Bombyx mori: one gene and its partners. The protein of the gene in region 1 purifies or fractionates together with the protein of each later gene. This does not show direct contact. Links are inferred from orthologs where the notes say so. Each region holds a gene or a part of one and is shown in the gene's direction. Other genes may lie near its edges.

Region 1 (8,675 bases):
GTATTTTTTCATCCTGTAACATGTGAAATACTATGTACTTTATAAGATTAAAAGACACAAAAATAATAATAGGCGGTGCTATAACAATAATTTAATATACTTGTCACTTCTAAATGGATTTCTGACTTTATAGTGCATATGCATAGACAAACAGAATAGATGACAACCGGATAAAATCTTGGTTTCGGTATTAAATAGTAACTTAAAGCTTTCATTAGATATAACAAGTTTATTCTAATTCCAATCCCATACCTAGATGGGCACATCCAACTTACATTATATTGATCTATTGTGTCAGGATTTCTATCTACTTCTTTAATTAGTTCTATAACTTTTTCTGCGAACATTGTGTGTTACTTATTTACTTAACAATGAGAGAGATAACAAACAAAATACTTTAATAATTTAGATAAAAACATTTTTGGCATTGGCGCGAAAGTTGTTATTAATTTGATGAGTGACAGCTCAAGACTGTGACAGATAGTAAATTTGACATTTTATGATCGGATACGCATCATTTTTGGATGAGTTCGAAAATCACAGAAGCCTTGATCTTTAAATCTATAATACCAAAACCTAATCTTAAGATATTAAAATTTTCTAGAAGTGGGAGCTAAGTCATACAAGTAACTTTTTACAGATAATCACTTAGTAGCAATACAGCCAATAATAATCTCACTCTCCTTATCGGGTCGACCATCAGATCCAATTACTCTTGCAAAGACGCTTTCAACTTTAACATTAGGAGCAGACTTAGGGACCCTGATAACCGTACTCGTCGAACTCAACAAAGTGTTCGACGTGCAAACTAACCTCCCGGTGCCACCTCTGGGACATGATGATTTCATCATTCCCGCTGAATTGCGCCTCCTTATCAAGCGGATAAAGAGGCGCAAGGCATTGTGTGAGGACGGTATTCTCACCCTTGCATTTTTCCACTTTCTAGAATCAGTCGTGTCTTTTAAGACACGGCTGTTTAATTACATTCTGTCTACAGGATATTTCCCGGGAATTTAGAAGGACAGAAGACAGCCCTCCAATTATCGTCCGATTACCCTGTTGTCGTATGTGGGCAAGTTGTTCGAGCGGCTGCTGGTGAGAAGAGTGTCTCCGCACATCCTTCTCAGACCCGAGCAATTCTGGATACGTAGCAGTCACTCAACAACGCTGCAATTGGTCTGCGTTATGCACCTTTTGACGGTCCAACGCACGCCAGTACATGGCGGCAGTATTTCTCGATTTCGAGAAGGCCTTCAACCGTGTCTGGCGTGCGGGGCTTATCTGCAAGTTGGTGCAGAACACGGACTTCCAGCACGCCTACGTGCGACTACTGGGGTCGTACCTGGAGGGCAGAACTCTTTTTGTCGCGGTCAAGAGCGCTAAATCGTGGATGCGCCCAGCCACAGCTGGGGTTCCCCAAGGAGGTATCCTGTCACCGATCCTCTACGCTCTCTACACCAACGACATTCCCAATGTCGTTACGTTGTGTTAACACACAGAAATAATAAGCAGTAACATATCTATGACGGCGTTAACGTTACTTCTGTTATACAGCACGTGCAATAGGAGTGAGTCATACACAAGCCAGGTGCGCCGGCCGTGTCACTCCACTCGTAAAACAGCACGTGCAACAGGAGTGACTCATAGATAAGCCAGGTGCCCCGGCCGACTGCGTTTGCTCGGTGCACTTACTATATCCTTGTTACATTGTGTGATTAAGTGACTGTTTTACGTACTGGTTAAGGTTGGATAAATGTTAAAGTGAATTAAGTTATCATATTGTTGATTAAATCAGGAATCAAAAAGTGACTTCGTTTTACTGGGTGTTCAACAAGATAATATCCCCCGCCCTAACCCCCCCCCCCCCTCCCCCTCCCACATAATACGCAATGGAATTGTTCAATGAGTAACGTATGTTCGTCTGCTTTTTGTGGCCACAATACCAAACAATTACAACTTCTAGTTTTGTTGATCCGAAGAGTCGATAATTGTAAAATGAAAGAATAAACACCAAATGGAAATTTTAAGTTCTTTCTATTGGGTCCACAGCTGTCTATAAAGTTTACTTATGGACGAGAGTTTTACGTGATAACGTCGTAAAGACTCCGTATGCTTTACCACCTGAAGTATTTCCTTCCGCCCGAGACCAAGACAATACTCGTTCAAACTTTGGTTTTCCCCTTGATCGACTATGGTGATGTGTGCTACTTTGACCTGAATGCATAATATCTACTCAATAAACTTAACCGGCTTCTCAATAACTGCATTCGATTTATTTATGATCTTCGGAAATACGATCACGTATCTTCTCATCGCTCCCAACTTAAATGGCTCCCCATTCGACAACGCCGTAGCTTGCGTGCTCTCGGTACTCTTTACTCTTTGTTGCATTCCCCAAATCCACCTGCTTATTTAACTACTTCCTTTCAATACTTAGGGTCTGACCACAGCCGAAATCTTCGTTCATCTCACAATGTTCTTCTTCGCTGTCCTCCATATAGTTCTGACTCGGTTCTCTAAGGTCGGCCACTACACGTGAAGCGTTTAAGATGAGGGTTCGAGAACTGTTTCTAGAGAGTTATCAGAGTCATCTAATTGATAATATTTATTTATATATATTTTATACATATATATTTATGTAAATGTATTTATTTAAGTACGAGTTTTTGTATCTATAAATATTATGTATGTTATATATACACATATGTTTAAGTAATATCACTATCACACTACACCTATCAAGGTTCATCTCTGCACCCCCCTAAGGTAGACTCTCAGAGAATTTTTCGGAGCATCTGGGTCTACGGAGGGACTTCGGTTCCCTCTGTATTTTGTACCGTATGTTCCATGGGGAGTGCTCTGAGGAATTGTTCGAGATGATACCGGCATCTCGTTTTTACCATCGCACCACCCGCCACCGGAGTAGAGTTCATACATACTACCTGGAGCCACTGCAGTCATCCACAGTGCGTTTCCAGAGGTCTTTTTTGCCACGTACCATCCGCCTATGGAATGAGCTTCCCTTCACGGTGTTTCCCGAGCGCTATGAGATGTCCTTCTTCAAACTAGGCTTGTGGAGAGTATTAAGCGGTAGGCAGCGGCTTGGCTCTGCCCCTGGCATTGCTGAAGTCCATGGGTGACGGTAACCACTCACCATCAGGTGGGCTGTGAGCTCGTCCATCCATCTAAGCAATAAAAAAAAAAAAAAAAAACGTGGATGTTTTAGTTTATTTTTATCGAAATCACAGTTTTGTTATATTGTTTTACTTCACGAACCAACAGATATTTTTTTACTAGTCAAGACACCTATTGTCACTGTCTATGTCTATGTTTACTTTGTTTTTGCTAAGGATATCTATCAACTCAAACAAAATATTTTAGATTAAATCATCACGCAGTGATGTAGATTGTAGACAATTTACATGACACAGTGTTTCCGAACATGTCTCTAGAAAGTGACGTAATGACGAATGCTAATAAAAACAAAAAATGGCAGCCTTATGTAGTCACAAATACTCCAGCATTGAATCTTAATCACGCATTGTGCACGCGCATTCGTTGTAGTGAGGCTGTTTATTACGCGACATTTTTGTGTCAAAACATGGTTCCGTGTTCATAAACAATTGTAATATAAACAATAGTGAAACGATAAGATTATTGTTAAAATTGAAAACGGTCGTATAGAATTGAACCAAAAATGAGTGCCAAAAAAGATTCCGAAACGAAATTGCGCGAGGACGAGTACGCTGATTCCGGTTTTGTTACTGGTGAAATATCAGGACCGTGTGATAGTAATGATATCGATTCAGGGATGATCGATTATGATGAAAAGAATAGTGAAGGTGAAAGTGGAGTGAAATCCATTACGGATAGGCTGTCACAAGTAATGGTTAGTGTTCAGAGTCCTGCACAGAGTACCGCAGACATTCCTCCGCTGTATCTACTGTTCCAACAGGACGAGGACGGAGACACGTATGTATAAATCATTATACTCCACGCACTCTTACAACAACAACAAAAATTCTTCATTTTGGCTTTTTGGGGTCTGTGCATGAAATTTTTCCCTATAATTTTAAACAACATTGTTAACTTGATTTGACACTACTACTATTATTAAATACTTTTTCGAGAAACACTCCTTGCTTACCTTTTAGTTTAATGATAGATTTTTAAATATATTTTGAGATTTATCAAATTACTTTTTTGTTGTTGTTAAAGTCAATTAATTACCTACGAAGGGCATATTTAAAAAAAAAACATTGTTAATGTGGAAATTTTATCAAATTATACTTGTGCAAGAACCTCAGCTCACCAAGAAAATTAATATGACAATCTTACCCAGCCAATACAGTTTGTAATAAGTCAACAGACCTAAACTACAATATGTATTCTTATTAAAACCATGATGAAACTTGAACTATAACAAAAGAAATTCCCTGTGTTCAGTGAAATAAATGAGAGAAATAGCAACTTTACGTTTAAGGTGCTTACTATATCCTTTCATTCGTCTATTTTAATAAATCTATTTTGAATTAACATGCAGTTAAATAAAACCAATTTTTATCATGTTTCTTTATTAAGCTTTAAACTTTTTGCTAAAGCGTTAATTCTCGTAGTTTAGCATTTTATAAAGCATATTAAAATATATTGATATAAAGTTGCTAGTTCAATTATATTTTAACAGGGTACAATAACATAAACTTCATTTAAAAAAATGTTTATCAGTACAGTAACAAAAATGAACTTAAAGCGTTGTAGCCTAATACGGTAATATGCACATGATATGTTGTAAATTCTGTAATGAATAAATTGCATGCACTGCCCGCCATTGCAGTAGCCTTTGTCCACTCTGTGTAGAACCACTGTGTTTATCCACAGTGCATTTCCGGAGATATTTTCTGGCATGTACCATCTGGCTTTGTAATTAACTCCTCTCTTTGATGTTTCTCAAATGCCTTATAATGTTGGAAGGTTGGTTGACAAGATTTATAGAAAATACTCAGGGGCAGGAAGCAATTTGGCTCTGCCCCTGGCATTACTGATGTGAATTAGCAATGGTAACCACTCACCATCAGGTGGGCCATATGCTTTGATATCTTTGTTTTCAGTGAAACTATAGACTAAATATACATAAACTAAATATTCACTACTATGTTTTAGTAAATATAGCAGTGAAAAAGACTTGATATTCTTCCAATATTTAAATTAACAAGGAAATCATTTATACATTTTACAACTTCCTTTGCGCGGATTTGTTTTTTTGAATAAAGACGATCAAAGTGAGCAAATTTAATTGCTTGAAAAACATATTGATTGGATTGATAATACAATTAGTAATCATGATCAAGTATATAATAATATACTTATGAGTGCAAATGTAACTGTTTCAGCCTTCTTTGAATATAAATAACTAGGGACTATTTTTAAATATTTGAATTAGAACTGATAATTATTTGTTTTTCTAAACTATCTAAAACTACCAAAATATTATTTGTTAAACTGTTCCCAGATGTGTTGACAATTCTAGCTCATGTTGTTTTAATTATCAATACATAACATTTTACACTGTTTTTATTTATTTGATATCCCTAAAATTATTTATTTAACTTCCTCACTCAGATCAATAACCTATGTAGCTATGTATAATAAAAGAACAAGCTATTGAATAGATTAGATAGTGATATGATTACATCACTAGATGCAACTAGTGATGTCCTCAAATGACCTCACTCACAACACCATCACTCATATAAATTCTGAGGATTACATGGGTACATCTAATGTGTTTGTTTATATCAGGTGGTTCCTGCATTGTATTCAGATAGAATGGACTGGTTCATGCACATACCAATGATAGAATCAACCAATCGACAATATCATCATCTGGTACTCGTTTTCACAATTCAAACTAATTACAAAACAAGTTAACATTTATAAAAACAAGTTTACTTCCTCAATAATTGTAAATTGTTTCGTTTTATTTAAATAGTATATTTTATAATACCTATTAATAAATGTCTATGATAAATTTATAAATTAAGGTTTATTTATTTAGCATACATACATACAATCTATGCAAGTACAACATCGATATAACACCAGTTGTATAATAAATGATTAATCATACATATGAAATATAAAAAAATATGTTTATTAGTAGAAGGTCTGAAAAATAAAATATAAAGTATTTAAATTTAAGAAGTACTTCCTGTCTATGAACTCATTTTTTCAGTACAGATATTCCCATAAATAGATTACTCAATGTCTAAAATGAAAACAGTCACTATAAAGTGTTACCAGTGCCTATTATGGCTATTACATATCAGTGAACTACTTATTACATTATAAGGAGTCTGTGCAGTTGATATGTTGAATGTGAAGAGTTGTTATTTTCCATTACAGACAACTACACATCGCCTCCGTACACGGCTGTGAAAAGTCAGTGGGTACCCTCATCAGGGTGTGCCCTGAGAAGTCGTGGCTGGACGTGCCCAACGATTATGGCCATACGCCACTGCATCTAGCGGTGATGAGTGGTAATGCCATCATCACTAGGATGTTGGTCATCGCCGGAGCTGACATCGGAGCGAGAGACTGCCTCGGAGAGACTCCGCTACACAAAGCGACTGCCGCCCGCCATATAGAATGCTTAAAAGCACTACTTGCCAAAGTTCCTGAGCATCAGAGCAGTAAAGTATTAACAGTACTGGAGCAGAAGAACTACAACGGTAAGTTGTTTATTTAAAAGAAATCATTCAAATATTTCCTTGTAGCCATTTGTGAGCGACTCGACTGATAACAAATTCAGTAACAGATTAGTGTAATGAGTGTTGATCAATTTATATACCTCGTGCTTTTATTCAGATTCTAGCTAAATTAATATTAACTATAAACCTAGCAAGTTTGCAGCGAGATAAATTATTGTCTCACTGAATCAGATGTAAAAACCCATACAAACTCGGAATTTCCACTTACGATTCGCTTTAAGCGTTCTTAAAGACTTGACCGTCGGCAACTACCGCATTTTTATTATTAAAATTTATTAAGTTAAAATTGCGTAATTTCACTAATATCGTGGTCTGTTATCGGTCGTTGAATTAAGACGCAGTATGAACGATAAAATGTAATGCCGAGATTAGCACGTCCGAATTTGAACTACGCATAGTACTGTACTTATCCTGTGGTAGGTTAAATGTTTGACCTCGGATAATTCAGGGAAGTAGTATTTATTGCCGGCGCCGGCGTCGCGGTCCATCCAGGCGTGAACTTACACCCTAATGACGTCACGTGTTCATTGCATTAGAAGCTACGTAGTCTACTAGCATACATTGTTGAATTGAACACTAGCAGCTCGTATCTGGAGCCAGTTTGTGGCACGACACAGACATACGGCGTTGTTTACGTCCGAAGTGCGAACCGTGTCTACTTGTGACGTCATTCAAGGTCTCCATTACGATCGAAGTCATTAAAAATCTATCGTAAATTCGGTTTGGAATACAGCGAAACGCAATTCATGAGCATCCATTCAAAATTTTAGAATGTCTCGTGGACTCGTCCTCATTTTAAATCGTGAACACGGAACGACCCGTGTAGAGCTGCATCAAAACATGATATTTCGAGTTTTTTTAATTAGCGGTTTTCCCTGATCATCTCTGGTCGGCTTCAAGTTTTGTGTAAAAGAATTTCGCACGACTTCTGGTCGTCGATCTGCATACGGTTTTACCCGACGCTTGACCTTGCCGAGACAGTCAAACACGTATTATAACATAATTTTCGGACTTAATAATTATACATCTATACTGCGAGCCGTTCGACAGAGGCCGCCTACGTGCGAGGCGGTGTGACCGCGGACTGGGTATTCCCAACGACCGTTCTCAAACTTGAGTGAAAGCATTATGCTTACATTGAACCGAATCTACCGCTCCAAACGTTCGCACGACTCTTTAGTCGGGATGCCCCACTGTCCACTGCGCTGCACATAGCTAATTATGAATTTGTTAAGCAGCCGGCATAGTAAACTGGGTTTTTCTAAACAACAATAAATACATAATGTTTACTTTTCATATCTGCGTTTTGTGTAAACGCAGCAATTCCCTTGCTTCTATCGCCGTCAAATCGCGCCTGAAGTCGCTTGCTTTCACTAAGTAGCTTACAAAGTGAACTTGTTGAAGGTAAACACAAGTCCATTCCGTTAAATGTATTCGCTGGGTTGATCGGTCTAAGGAAAACCGCAGAGGTACGGCTGCAGGCACCGTAATTTCCCATTATTCGAGCTGAACAATGAGTCGATGTGCTGATGGGTTATACCCGCGTGAAAGTGTGTCCAGGGGCCGTGCTGCCGCGTTACATACTCGCGGAAATCCCAAGCGTCGTCGTAATAATAGCGTTACGTCGCCGCCTCGCCACCCACGCTTTCTAATTTTAAAACGCTGTACTGAATCTCACTTAACAGACGCGCATATGTATATATAGGAGAATTCAAATCATACCAAATTAAACCCTTGCGTGCTGCTATGTTTGGTTAAAGAAATATTCGACGACCGACCGGATTTAGAGAATTTCCAAAAAAAACAGGTTCCGCTGATGATCGAAGTGCGAGAGGTTGTGAATACTGTTTTTTTTTTATTAAACCTCAAGTTTATTTATGATTCGAGTCACGAAAATGAAGTAGGTAA
Region 2 (4,070 bases), on another chromosome or scaffold:
TTTGCAGTTTAGACCTTGCAAAAACAATCGTGGAATTCTGGCAGATTTGACAAGAGTTTCGCGCAATATTATTTATTTTCTGTAGTAAATATTGTAGTAGAAGCACGCAGATCACACGACTACAATATTTACATACACACGAGAACTTTAACTGGGTTCCTAAACAAGTAAAAACCATCAACTTAAGTTCAACAGTATGTACTAGGATCTTCGAAAAATTCGAAGATCCTAGTACAATTTTAGAAGTATTAAGGGTCATAACAACCTTTTCATTTAAAAATATCTTCTCGAGACCATTCATTTAACCTTTGTTAACTTTTGTTAGAAAACAAAACTAAGCAGGGACTGTAATACTCTTAGCTAATCTGATAACCAATTGGATCAATCGACGAGTGGTCTACAGATAATCTGCTCATCTAGAGTAAAAATATTATTGTTCATTCACCAAAATTAAATGTTTTCATCACAATTTCAACATGAAAAGCTTTGCGGTGGGGAAGGACCTGGCTTGGTCAAGTATTTCTGTGGGATATATTCTTAGGTTAATAGTTTTATTGATTTGTCGTAGTTGCTCATGCAGAAAATTTACAAGCTTAATTACCTGAGAAATCAACATTTCAGTACCTAGGCATTGAAACCAGTACACAGATTTATTTAAAAAGCTGGAGATTCCTGCACTTTAGTCTGCATAGGTAGTCCATTAACATGATTTTTATTGTTGTTAATTGATAGAAAACATGGTCTATTTAACAATTAAAATAGTATATTCAATATTTTTATTGGCATACATACAAATGTTACGTTTCTGCCCTAATTAATTCATTTCTATTTATGTTTAATCTACTTGTGTTCCAGAGTCCAGAGTAGCATAAATCTGAATTCACTAAATCCCCTCTGAGTGAATTTGAACGCATCAATACTCAAAAAAGTAACGCCACCTAGCGTCACAGTAGAGTGAAAATGAACACGGTTTTAAGAGTTGCCAGTGCGGATACTTTTCGTCTGATTTAAGGTAATGTGGGACTTTTATGGACAACGATGACGATCGGAAGGTTTTGCGATTGCTATTTATATCTATCATATCCTTGTTTAAAAAAAATCATTAACTATATTAGTGATTGATTGATATTACTTGGTTACTAGGCAGTTTAATGCAAAAGCAATCTTTGGAGAACACCAAACTGAACGCAACCAGTCTTGCTGATTTACAAGGAAATTGAAGTCTATCAAATTGTTTTTTTCAAATAAATTCAAACATCGTTAAAGAAGGCTGACATGTAATATTATGGGTATATGAAAATAAAGTTTTATGGCATAATAATAAAAAATCCTATAAAATCAATAAGGGTTTGGGATTTGTCTAATTTATTTACCGGCAGCACTGCTTCAGTTTTGTTCTCTCTTTTCACTGTTGTTTCTTTTTATTTGAAGTGAGGATGAAATGGTCCAAAATAACAAGGCCTACATGTGTACGTATTGCCGAATTGAATAAAATTTGATGAATCGTGATTGTAAATCGTGGTATAATAAAACAAGCTCAATCGTATCGCATCAAGTACATAAAAAAGTGTAATGTGGTCGATGACAGCGTGAAAACGGGTGCTACGTAAGTATAATCCGATCAATTTACATACCCATTTTAAAACATATCAAAACTAAAAAAATTCGGACGCTTTACGGTAGCGTTATTTCATATCTGTCATGTCACGCTGTGACTGTCAGTGAATTGTCAGGTAGGTAGTCCAAATTACAGAATACAGATGTAGGTAGGTACTTACCTACCTACCTGAAATTGTCAGGCAGAAACCAGTCGCAATATAATGATTAAACGTGTTTGAAATAGCTCATTTAGTGCTTTTAATGTAAAATATAGTGCCATTAGGTTTAACGGGAAGACTAAGCAGGTATGTTGTAATTCAAAAGCTTGAGAGATTATTAAAAAAACACGTTCTCGGTTGCCCTTGTTTGTGTTGCAAAATCTCGATTCCTTTGTCAGATCCAACAACACTTTTACTTTTCGTATCGTTTTTAGCCTTTAATTGCATTTACTTATTATTAAATTCATAAACTCCATGTTAATCTCGCACATCGTTATGCGCAGTTAAGGAAAACGGTAATTTGTTTTTTTTTTTTGTTTATGCTAATAAGACACAGTTTTCTAGTTGAACAAACAGTTATCGTTCAATGAGCACAATACACAACAAAACGTATGTCTGTTATGTCTTCCTATGCTTATCTACACTTTTTCTTTTAAATCTGTTACCACCTGCTTTTTGTTAGTGGCAATATCGAGAAAATAACTAGGTCTTGTTATAAGATTTACATAAATACTTTGTAAAATATATTACATACGAAATTAGAGGTACCAATAAATACTATGTATGTAATATGTGTTACATATGAAATTATAGGGATTCAGTGATGTAAGTTAATAATGGTTGTGCTCAAAGTAAAAAAATATAAGTAGAGTTCTGATTTTGCACAATAAATACAGGAAATGGAGTGCAAAGTGGCTATTTCCAAGGCTAAATGCCCTAAATGTATCAAATCTCTTGCCTTAAATGTAAGTTACCAACTATATTGATTGACTAAATCAAGCTAAGCAAATTCATCTCTTTGTAAGAATATACTTCATGAACTTGTGAGGACATCCCAAGTAGTAATTTGGGAGTTTCTACAGTTGTTCCTAAAGATCATTATTACTTCAGAGCTATGGCATATATTTTTCAAAAGTAATTTAAAGGCAATTCACAATGCTTGTGGCATTGTTGTTCTCTAGGCAATGATAAGGATAAAGATTAATAATAATGATGTTTAAAAAAAATACAATACAAAGAAAAGTTTTTAGGCAGTCTCAAGTAAACGAATATTACAATTCAGTTGGTGCTGTATTTACATGTCGAAATTCATATGAGTATTAGGAAATTGAAATGATAAGTTCTTTTCACGAAAATAATTGCACAACACAAAAAACAATGAACGAAATAATGTACACGTGCATGTAATGTGCTCTGTTTGCTATTCTCTTCAAAATAATAATTGCACAGGAATAAAATAAAATAAATGTATATAAAGACAAATTTACTGAGTCTGCCTTGCGGATGAACTCTCAACTATGTCTATTTGAAACTGGGTATCGTGATATTGAACCCGTACGGTAGGCAGCGGCTTGGCTCTGCCCCTGGCATTGCTGAAGTCCATGGGCGACGGTAACCACTCACCATTAGGAGACCGTATGCCTACAAGGGCAATAAAAAAAACATACACAATTGCATAAATTAAGTTGACATTGTATTGTTCTTAACTTTCTTTTGTTCATCAATTTCAAATCTTATTGTTTTTTTATCAAAATTGCTTAGGAATAGTGATGGTTAGTAAACTAGTTAGTGTCTAAGCATCTGGACATAAGACTGAGCGATGCACTTCACTGTGTGACTGACAGATTTTGATGCTCAGTATTGAGTGAACTATTGAAAGGGAGAAATTTAGTGACGGTTGTATTGCATACTTGTTCATCTAAGCTAATTGACTACCTGAGAAAAAATGTTTTGTAGTGTGAGGCAGGTTTTTTGCTTAGTATAGCTATTGCGAATCTTAGCTTATCTTGGTTGTGTAGTTCATATTAATCAAGTTGTAACCATAGTACTTCTATTCTATGATAGCTACTGCTACATGTATATACTGCTTCATTTTATTACATTTGCCTCAAATGCTGAGGTCTCAGAAATGTGTAAACATATACATATCGACGTTTGAAAATGCGTGAATTTTACAGTAGACTAATTTAAAGTTGAAATACCTGAAAACAAAATTTATTTTAACGAATCTAGCTGTAGTAGAATCTAGCTAGTAGCTGTAGGATTGAAATAATTTTAATAGACCTAGAAATATTTTTTTTTTTCACATCGAATATGGTTATTGCTTATCATTTATGTACAAAGTAGTTATTGTCGGTTAGTCATGTTTGCCTTTCAAGTGTCGATATTATTCACTAGCGCCTAAAAATCATATTTGAAGACTTAATGAAGATGTTTGGCTTCTGCAAGTGCACCATAATGTACAGGCAGTAT
Region 3 (4,029 bases), on another chromosome or scaffold:
TTACTTGTTATGGGGCCTGGCGTAGAACCCCGGTAGAAGCTTTGGAAACATATTTTAAACCGGCCGGCCCGGGTACCGGATGGTGCCGTATGTCAGTCGGATCGTCCGACGTAATTTATTTGATAGTTTTATTACAGATTCACATTTAATTTGAATTTTCGGGTGCTGCCTTTAGTTAACATTAATTATTCACAAAATATAAATTTAACCAACGACAGCTGTTAGTTTATACTTGTATATACTTGTTGTTGTCACAGTCGACTCCACACGTCCTTACGGATCCATCGGGCAGCTGTTAGCAAATCCCGCGCCTCCGTGAAACTTGAAAGGTCTCGGAGCCACAAGTAATCCTGCAGTCCTAAAAAAAGATTTAGCATGAATTTTCCAACCGGCTGCCAGCCTGGCGTCAATCCTCCTTGGGCTATATATTATTATATATATTAAAATATCCATTTAACCATTGCAAAGTGCCTTAGATGCTGTAGGAACGGACTTTTACGGTTTCTTTTTTTGTTTTTCCTTTTACTTCATCCGTTTTTTGTTCTAATGATACTTATTCAATATTATATTATATTATAATTTTCCAATACCAAAAGTTTAAAATATCTATATATCACAACTCAAATAAAACAAATACTTACTTGTATATCATCGTTGTTTCTTCTATCAATAAATATGGAAATGTGGCAGTAGCCATCATAGAACACAAAATATTTGATAGATATCTGAATTTCGCTATTGACATTTTGAATACATGCTTGCATTTAAATTAAACAAGCACCAAACAACAACATTAGGACAGTTGGAAAACCAAGCAATTTCACCCAGTTGTAAGTTGTAACTATACTGAGAACTTATATCTCAAGGTGGGTGGCACACTTACGTTGTACATGTCTATGGCCTCCAGTAACCACTTACCACCAGGTGGGCTTTAAGCTCGTTCACCCAACTAAGGAATAAAAAAATAATAAAAAAAACATTGCAACTTCAATCCTGTTTAAAAAACATGTGAAGAGTATTTGCTGCGCTATTGTATAACAAATCGCCTATCTAGTGAAACTAAAGTTAACCTAGTTTGAAAATCAACCAATAAATCGACTAAACCCACATTGTTATTTCATTTTGCATGTTTTATAACAAATTGAGTGTAGACTTAAAAACGATTACAGTTGACAGTTGACATTACTTGACATTGACGTTCTTGTTGTCATCAGCCATCGCCGTCCCTCTTTTTCTCGGCTCCCGTTGCAATCATGGCCGTGAACAATATTTCAAAGAAGCGAAAAGTACGTTTTATTTAGTGTTATACGCTGCAAAATATTTAGTTAAATTTATTTTTAAATACTCAACTGATTTACCAGTTCAGAAAATTCGTTTATTTAGCAAGTGTAATTTGTGATGTTAGTGGATATTTTCAGTTGTGATCAGCGGTGAAATAGTTTTCATCATTTTTTACACTAACATAGTTTTCTTCAGTGATTTTGGAGCCTTCTACATCACAAACAAATATCTCGATTTCATACAATGAACGAAGATAATATTCAAAAGCAGGAGCGACGTGCTAAAAACATAACCTCTTGATGTTTTTTCAGTTTGTTGGAGATGGAGTTTTCAAGGCGGAACTCAATGAGTTCCTCACTAGGGAGCTGGCCGAGGACGGCTACTCCGGCGTGGAAGTCCGGGTCACTCCCATCCGCTCGGAGATCATTATTATGGCCACCAGGACACAAAGTGTGCTCGGAGAGAAAGGACGCAGAATCCGTGAGCTGACTTCCGTAGTACAGAAGCGATTCAACATTCCAGAGCAATCTGTAGAATTGTATGCTGAAAAGGTGGCTACTCGTGGTCTTTGCGCTATCGCCCAGGCCGAATCTCTAAGATACAAGCTTATCGGAGGTTAGTATGTCTACATGGTTAAACTTGCATGAAAAGCACAGAAAAATTCTTTAACACACCAATTAATAAAAATAACATGTGTGGCTTATTTACAGATACTAAACCAAACATTAAATATCTATGTGTATGTATGCCCCACACCTGACACTTCAATTCAGAATAAGTTGATGTGTTTTTCGTTGAGGCTATATTAACATCCTCATATCATAATTGCATCAGCCTATTGCTATATGCTTGCATGTTATGCTGGTAACATTTAAATCTGAAAATAATTGTATAAAATGCATACTCATTTTAGAATCATTTGAAACAATTCATTCATCTAATTGTGCATAAATAATCCTATAACTATGCTCATGACATACATGATTCACAAAAAAAAACTTTCCTATTCATTAATTTTAAATGTAAATTGTTATGATGTGTAATCAAAAAGTCTATACCCAGCCTCTGCACAAGACACACTACTAATGGCTATTGTGTATATTAATTTTATTAAAAAATCTCATAATTATAGAATTGTAATAAATTAGCCACAAAGTTTGTGGAAGTCGATTGGCAATGTGTTGTTACACACATATGGCATTTAAAAATTGCTACCTGTCTGAAGAATATTCAAACTAAAACACCTTCAAGTCACATTGCATGCAAAAACTGCTTAGAAGCACCGGATCCTAACGTACAATAATGTAAATTAATCTCAAATTCTTTAGTTTTTAGAAAGATTACTCTTTACTCCTTATGTATGTTTTCAAGAATAGTTTCAATAATTTGTATTTATCATTCATGTATTTATCGTTTATTTCGATGCTGTATTTATCTTTATAAAAATTGTAATATCTACTGTAATCTCAGGTCTCGCTGTACGTCGTGCTTGCTATGGTGTTCTCCGTTTCATCATGGAATCTGGCGCCCGTGGTTGTGAAGTTGTTGTATCTGGCAAGCTGCGTGGTCAACGTGCCAAATCAATGAAGTTTGTAGATGGACTCATGATCCACTCTGGAGACCCTTGCAATGACTACGTCAACACTGCTACCAGACATGTGCTTCTCAGGCAAGGAGTACTAGGAATCAAGGTGAGAAACAGCTTACTGTTAATAAATTAAAATTTTGATAAATTTTCAATTATACCCTGTAAGATTAACCTAATCTACCATTTGTATAAACTGCTACAAATAAATAGAGTGAAGCCTGGTATAAAACCAAAAGGGTTGAAAATAAAAGTATAAGGTGTGTGTCTGAGATAGTATTATAAACTTCACCAAAGTCACCAATGTATGTTATTATGGTATTTGTTACCGTAGGTATCACTATGGTATTTGTTGAATTTAACTACCTTCGTAATTAACGTAGGCTAGACTCAACTAGGCTAAATTAAAATAGTATAATTGAGTCGTCTATTATCAAAGGTGGCAATCTGTGCATTTGGACAAAAAAATATTTTGATATGTCAATACAGATTGATTTGAATATAATCGTCTCCTTCAAAGAATACGGTTCAAAACCTGCATTAAATAAAGGTTAATAGTTAACCTGTTATTTATCTAAGATGTCGTTCCGAAGAGTTTTGTGACTGCCAATGGAATACAAAGTCAATAATTCGTTTTTCTGATTTACCAATATTGTTCAAAAGTCAGATTGCCGGCTTTGATAATAGACGACTCAATTACTGTTTTATTCCTGTTTAAATATTCATTTACAAAATTACTTCATCATAATGAAATATTTCTTCACACTAACTTCACCACTAGATTTCACTATAAAGGGACATTTTAAGAAACTCCTTTCAAAGCATCCTAAAAAGTCTAATGCACTTGAATAGTAATAGTCAAGGGTTTTATCTTTGAACTCAGCCATAGAGTTTTGTAATAAATACATCTTCGAATCTCAAAAATCTATCCTAGTTTAGTCTTAAATTAATAATCCACGCAATCAGGGATTGCAAGCACTCTCAGTGGCTTTTGATCTAATTTGCAGTGGAAGAGTATTCTGGCTTGTTTATTGAAGGGTCTTTTATATATTGGCTCTGTTACGGTGCAAACCAAACAATTTTAATGTCCACAGCTCTCAAACACTCAAGAAAACACTATTCTGATTATTAAACGTACCACCATCATAAAAATAGCTATTTTA

Evidence for each region.
Region 2: the proteins of cact (region 1) and cullin-1 purify together in Homo sapiens (affinity purification with western blotting; 8 studies listed by BioGRID and IntAct, with this or other methods). This does not show direct contact. The link is inferred for Bombyx mori from reciprocal best matches to the Homo sapiens genes NFKBIA and CUL1.
Region 3: the proteins of cact (region 1) and RpS3 purify together in Homo sapiens (affinity purification with western blotting; 4 studies listed by BioGRID and IntAct, with this or other methods). This does not show direct contact. The link is inferred for Bombyx mori from reciprocal best matches to the Homo sapiens genes NFKBIA and RPS3.

What each region holds. Positions count from the first base shown.
Region 1 is NC_085118.1:17,163,013-17,171,687, forward strand, and holds the start of cact (cactus), read left to right. Parts: upstream 1-3,545; 5' UTR 3,546-3,697; coding exon 3,698-3,972; intron 3,973-6,402; coding exon 6,403-6,728; intron 6,729-8,675. Other genes in the region: DNA replication complex GINS protein PSF1, read right to left, coding at 1-13, 276-347. UniProt on the Homo sapiens protein: Inhibits the activity of dimeric NF-kappa-B/REL complexes by trapping REL (RELA/p65 and NFKB1/p50) dimers in the cytoplasm by masking their nuclear localization signals.
Region 2 is NC_085108.1:4,460,578-4,464,647, reverse strand, and holds the start of cullin-1, read left to right. Parts: upstream 1-1,270; 5' UTR 1,271-1,606; intron 1,607-1,697; exon of another isoform or gene 1,698-1,904; intron 1,905-4,070. UniProt on the Homo sapiens protein: Core component of multiple cullin-RING-based SCF (SKP1-CUL1-F-box protein) E3 ubiquitin-protein ligase complexes, which mediate the ubiquitination of proteins involved in cell cycle progression, signal transduction and transcription.
Region 3 is NC_085120.1:12,499,979-12,504,007, reverse strand, and holds the start of RpS3 (ribosomal protein S3), read left to right. Parts: upstream 1-1,229; 5' UTR 1,230-1,253; coding exon 1,254-1,286; intron 1,287-1,592; coding exon 1,593-1,896; intron 1,897-2,751; coding exon 2,752-2,972; intron 2,973-4,029. UniProt on the Homo sapiens protein: Component of the small ribosomal subunit. The ribosome is a large ribonucleoprotein complex responsible for the synthesis of proteins in the cell. Has endonuclease activity and plays a role in repair of damaged DNA.